Linked DNA regions of Saccharomyces cerevisiae S288C. The protein of the gene in region 1 interacts with the protein of each later gene in a pairwise test. Each region holds a gene or a part of one and is shown in the gene's direction. Other genes may lie near its edges.

Region 1 (3,323 bases):
AGCTGTTGGATTTGCTGTTACTGTATTATTGTCGTCATCATTGCCATCGCCTTTATTGTTATCATTGTTATTGTCATCATTATCGTTGTCACTGTCATTAATCTGTAACTTAGACTGTATATCGTAACATTCAGACAGCCTTGTTAATGAGGTCATGCCTTCTAGGCTTTCTTGATCAATGTCCAGAGATATATTGGGTTTGTCTAATGATCCTTGATGAGATTGATGCTGCAGCTGACCTTCCCAAGGCCTAGGTCTTGGCCTCAATGAAGGAGTACTAGCTAAACCCTCATCCAGCGTAACATTGGGCACCTCCACAATATTAGGTATAGGCTTGTTATTCAGAATGTGATCCAGCAACTCTTCATAACTAAGTTCACCACCTGCTGCCATGCTTGACTCGTTATGTTCGCAATCAATTTTCAAGAGGTAAACCGAAACATGTGGAGCTCTTTTACAGGCTCCGATAATAATAAAAGAAACTTTAATAGTTGGTAAGAACTTGACAAAAAAAAACACAATATATATACATAAAAAAGTCAACAACTGACAAGCAAGGTAAAAGGTGATAAAGTTGAAAGATGACTGGCGAAGAATGGGGCTTGACTGTACTGTCATTCTTGGTAAGAGTCGGATTTTTTCTTTTTGGCATTTACCAGGACGCTAATTTCAAAGTGAGGTACACTGATATCGACTATTTTGTGTTTCATGATGCTGCTAAATATGTATACGAAGGCAAATCACCTTATGCAAGGGATACATATCGTTACACACCGCTACTAAGTTGGCTGCTAGTGCCTAATCATTATTTTGGATGGTTTCATTTGGGGAAGGTCATATTTGTTATTTTCGATTTGGTTACTGGGCTCATTATAATGAAGCTTTTGAACCAGGCCATCTCCAGAAAAAGAGCTTTAATATTGGAAAGCATTTGGCTATTGAATCCGATGGTTATCACCATCAGTACAAGGGGAAACGCTGAAAGCGTGCTTTGCTGTTTGATCATGTTCACGCTTTTTTTTCTACAAAAGAGTAGATACACCCTAGCTGGAATCTTATATGGTCTTTCTATCCATTTCAAAATATATCCAATCATATATTGTATCCCAATAGCAATTTTTATATACTACAATAAAAGAAACCAGGGTCCACGAACACAACTTACATCGCTACTCAATATCGGTTTGAGTACTCTAACAACTTTGCTTGGATGTGGTTGGGCAATGTACAAGATATACGGATACGAGTTTCTGGATCAGGCATACTTGTACCACTTATACAGAACGGATCACAGACACAATTTTTCAGTGTGGAACATGCTATTGTATTTAGATTCTGCAAATAAGGAAAATGGTGAGTCCAATCTCTCAAGGTACGCATTTGTGCCTCAATTGCTGCTTGTTTTAGTAACTGGATGTCTTGAATGGTGGAATCCCACATTCGATAACCTATTGAGGGTTTTATTTGTGCAGACGTTCGCATTTGTGACATATAATAAAGTGTGCACATCGCAATATTTTGTTTGGTACCTGATCTTTCTACCATTTTACCTCTCAAGAACGCACATTGGTTGGAAGAAGGGGCTTTTAATGGCCACGCTTTGGGTAGGAACGCAGGGAATTTGGTTAAGCCAAGGTTACTATTTGGAATTCGAAGGCAAGAATGTATTCTATCCTGGACTATTTATTGCAAGCGTGTTATTTTTCGTCACCAATGTGTGGCTACTGGGTCAATTTATTACTGATATTAAGATACCGACGCAACCCACAGTTTCCAACAAAAAGAACAACTGACTGACGTGAACTTGCACCATGTACATCAATTCTATAAATCTACTCATATAATGAATGTGTAAATATGAAAAAAAAAATGCAAAAGCGCACCACCAAAAGAGAAAAAAGCTGAAAAAAAAAAGGAAAAAGATACTTGATGTGATGTGTGAGTGAAAAAATTATTAATTCCTACTGGATAAAATCACCCCAAGGAAACAGTTCAAGAGCTAAACTAAAGAAAAGCATATTGCATAAAATGTTAAGAGAAGTCATCTATTGTGGAATTTGCTCCTACCCACCAGAGTACTGCGAGTTTTCAGGAAAATTAAAGCGTTGTAAAGTTTGGTTATCTGAAAACCACGCAGACCTTTATGCAAAGCTATACGGTACTGACGATAATACGCAAGAGGTGGAAGCCGTGACCAACAAACTGGCTGAATCCAGTATTGGCGAAGCTAGAGAGGAAAAGTTGGAAAAGGACTTGCTGAAAATTCAAAAAAAACAGGAAAACAGGGAACAAAGAGAATTAGCTAAGAAGCTGTCATCGAAAGTGATCATTAAAAGAGAAGCTAGGACCAAGAGAAAGTTTATCGTCGCTATCTCTGGGCTGGAAGTTTTCGACATCGACATGAAAAAGCTAGCCAAGACATTTGCGTCTAGGTTCGCCACAGGGTGCTCAGTCTCGAAAAATGCAGAGAAAAAAGAAGAAGTTGTCATTCAAGGTGACGTGATGGATGAAGTGGAAACTTACATACATTCCTTGCTGGAAGAAAAAGGCCTAAAGGACGTCAAAGTGGAAACCATCGATGCTAAGAAGAAGAAAAAGCCTGCTGCAGAAGGAGCTGCCAAGTAAGCAATCCATAAATATGTAATAGCACCGTTCTGGGAGAAAAGGACTTTTTACTTGGTAACCAGGCGTGTAGGTTAGATAGTCAAACCCTATATCGTTCTTGAGATCGTCGCTCATATATACTGTGCAGCCGGCCCTCGTGCGCCTGCGCCGTTCCTTCTCTGAAACCTTCGTAGTAGGACAATAAATATAGTCCCCATTGCCTATTCAAATTATTTGCAACCGAAAAACTGCAAAATTTGTTGTTGACCATAGGCGTACAAAACACAACTCAATCCAGCCGTAAGTAAGTATAGTTATGACTTCATCTCTAGATGATATAGAACCAACAGCATATAATAATATGGAAGCGGACGAGGAATATTGCAGACGCAACGATATACATGACCTTTCCAGCGTGGTCGGTGATGCTGTCTCACAAGGTGTGCCAGACATGGATGGTCAAACAACGGATTCTTCGAAGGACCCTGAGCCAAATTCCGAGGATAAGAAAGCGTTTCCTCCTTCGAGTGGCTCATTTTTTTCTCCTAATCTACAGGGTCAAAGGAAGAAAGTTCTTTTAAAGTTTGTTTTCACAAATTGCTTACTGGCCATAATTTGCTTTACAATGTTTGTGTTGTTCTGGGGGGCTCTTTACGACACCAGCAAGTATCTACACAAAGTTAAGCTTCTGGTTGTTATCCAGGAACCCCCTGTGGTAA
Region 2 (3,270 bases), on another chromosome or scaffold:
AATAAAACAAGTGTGGTCTGATAATGTAGAAGAGCAGGTTTTGCACTTCGAAAGAATTTCTAACGCAACCACCAATGGAGAAATTCTTCCAGGTATACTTGATTTACCAGTAGGCTTGAAGAATTCAGAAGATTTGTTCCAATTTGCTAAGAGGTCTATGGATATTAAAGATACCGATGAAGGCTACGAGTCCATCGAATTAATGAATTCGAGCTTCAGGAAGCTAAGCATAGCTGCCACACGATCGATAACTCACAAAGAAGTTAATTCAAGCATTAATCCAAACCTTTCAGATACTGCTGCTTTAAATAATGACTATATGGAAACTATTTCTCTCCTAGTGAACAGTAACTGGCTAACTGAAATGCTTTCCATGTTAAACTTCAATAAGGATGGTATATTTGATACGTCATTGCAAAACGTTAAGAAAGTTTTCGATGTGGAAAAAGAATCTTATGCTTCCTTTCTACTCCGCGATACTATGCCTAAACTAACAGCCTTTGTTTATGGTGTGAGCAACATCATTGAAAATACCAACAATGTGAACATGACCAATCCTTCAAGATGGGCCGCATATAGCAGGCAGAACCTAGAGAACATTCTTTTAGCATACACTTCCCATGAAATTGAAACTCTAGTAAAAAGGCTGCACACTCATATGGTAAATGACTTCGGTTACCACCAAGAAAATGCCATAAACAACGTCCTATGCGATAAGTTGTGGTCGTGCATTCAAGGTCAAACCGTCTCACTATACTTGAAACTATACACTGTAATTGATAAACACTATAGAGGGACAAACATACGCTTCACGAAGAACGATATCATAAGTGCGTTCGAGGAATACAAGAATGCCTAAGTAACCTCTGCATTGTCGCTTCATATTACATATTTAGACTAATTAAGTAAATATTTTGATAAATTTCAATTTCAAATATCGTGTAAAATGATATATTAGTTTTCGAATTTTTTTTTCTGAATATAAAAGGAACAGAATATTAGTTAGCTTCATTGTCCAATTACTATTGTTACTTACGTTTAATGCATTTTCTTTTCTTTCACTTCCTTCCTTAATACTCCATCCTTATGCACGGGAAATACGCATATCAGTGAGGATTCGTCCGAGATTGTGTTTTTGCTGGTTGAAATTTAATTATAAACCAGACCGTCTCCTCATGGTCAATTCGGTGTTCGCTTTTGAATACTTCAAGACTATGTAGGGAATTTTTGGAATACCTTTTTTCATTACCGATATTCATTCTTTCAAAGGGACTGTTTATTTTTCTTTGGAAGTAATATCAAAAAATAGGTTAGGGATACCGGACTGAAACATTCAATTGAGGGCCCAACCATATTTTTCTTTTCTTTTTCACCGAATTCTCTAATGTGAGTTCACGTTATAGAAGCTGGAATTGTAAGTAATACAGAAATGGCAACTAAAATGGTAGGCATGAGTGTTCTCCTTCTTGTGTGTCTTTCTTTTCACCCGATACAGTAAACTTTGTATAGGAGAGTTGACCAATTACCTGACAGTGCCGTCTATAAACGAGACCTCAACTTCACCTCAAAAACCATAATTTTATCTATTGATAATTATCATTATGGTCATTTTCCACTAAATTCATAGTTACCTTACTCTTATGCTTTGTATTTGTAGGTGTAAAAATGACGAAAAATTTAATTATCTGAAAAATTATTGTGTGAAAAAACTTGATTTTGCTATAACCTTATGTAAAACCATATAAAAGACAAAGACGGTAAACTAAAACAGCAGAGAGGAAATGTTTAAGAAGTATGTCTAACATGAGAATGAATATTGCGTAATTCACTGGTTTTACCAGGGGTTAGTGTACACTTTTGACTCAGTAAGCAATTACTAACATCATCATCGATAGATTCACAAGAGAAGATGTCCATTCACGTTCAAAGGTCAAATCTTCAATTCAAAGAACGTTAAAGGCCAAATTGGTCAAGCAGTACCCCAAAATAGAAGATGTTATTGATGAATTAATTCCTAAGAAGAGTCAAATCGAGTTGATTAAATGTGAAGATAAGATCCAATTGTATTCCGTCGATGGTGAAGTTCTTTTTTTTCAAAAATTCGATGAACTGATTCCAAGCCTGAAATTAGTACACAAATTTCCAGAGGCTTATCCCACTGTTCAGGTTGATAGAGGTGCTATTAAATTCGTTCTCTCAGGTGCTAATATCATGTGCCCTGGCCTAACTTCTGCGGGTGCCGACTTACCACCTGCTCCTGGTTACGAGAAAGGTACGATTGTAGTCATCAATGCCGAAAATAAAGAGAATGCATTGGCTATTGGTGAATTGATGATGGGTACTGAAGAAATTAAATCAGTGAACAAAGGTCATTCCATAGAATTGATTCACCATTTGGGCGACCCCTTATGGAACTTCAGCGTTGAGTAACAAACGGAGCCGTCAACACTATATTACTATCCATCTGCTACATAATAAAATAAAGAAACTAAGAAAAAATTAGAATAACATCCGCTTACAATCTAAAAGGCTGTTTCCTGATTTTTAAATATGCAACTAGCCAAGATTAACTATATACTGTGATTACGATGGGCTGTTAACCTTCTGAATGCTCTTGTTATTTACTGGAGACGAAACATGAATAATATCTCCGTTCACAACATTAAAATCTGAAATGGGGCGAAAATTATACTTTATTTCGTTTATCATCCCTTCAGAATTTTCATGAAATAACTTAACATTCAGTATGTCAAAGTTTAGCTTTCGACATATTACACTCTTAACGTACCTTACTGTAAAACTGGGAAGGACCCAATAATCTAAATCACTACTCGGCTTCTTGCCAGCTCTTATCTTTATTTTTAAGACAAGAGATTGCCGTGTTTCTCTTTCATTGTTGAAACTTAGCTTACTCATATCGATTTCATACGACTTTATGAGGCTTGACCAACGCGGCAGATTGGTGTCATAGCTCAATTCGTTATTCATTACCTTGGAAACAAAAAACATCTCAGCCTCTCTTCTTGTTTTTACATCACATATTGATCCATTCAATACCATCACACGATCAAACCTAGCCAGTACTTCATAAAAAGTAGCCTGTTCTTCGACGTTAATATAATTTCCGTTGTAGTTGAATTCGTTGCCACTCAGATGGATATTTTTCAAAGAGGGAAATGTCTTATTCAAATCATCTATCAAACTTCTTTCCTTAAATTTGTTATCTGTTATATCCAAGGATTCAACAGAATAAATAGCAATACTTGGTGC

The links.
Region 2: the proteins of TMA22 (region 1) and TMA20 interact in binary tests that used the Saccharomyces cerevisiae proteins (3 or more experiments, as listed by UniProt).

The regions. Positions count from the first base shown.
Region 1 is NC_001142.9:459,801-463,123, forward strand, and holds TMA22 (Tma22p), read left to right. Parts: upstream 1-2,028; coding exon 2,029-2,625; downstream 2,626-3,323. Other genes in the region: YJR012C (uncharacterized protein), read right to left, coding at 1-393; GPI14 (glycosylphosphatidylinositol-alpha 1,4 mannosyltransferase I), read left to right, coding at 582-1,793; YJR015W (uncharacterized protein), read left to right, coding at 2,921-3,323.
Region 2 is NC_001137.3:165,397-168,666, reverse strand, and holds TMA20 (translation machinery-associated protein 20), read left to right. Parts: upstream 1-1,781; coding exon 1,782-1,792; intron 1,793-1,895; coding exon 1,896-2,430; downstream 2,431-3,270. Other genes in the region: GTP-Rho binding exocyst subunit SEC3, read left to right, coding at 1-859; PAC2 (Pac2p), read right to left, coding at 2,584-3,270. UniProt on the Saccharomyces cerevisiae protein: Involved in translation.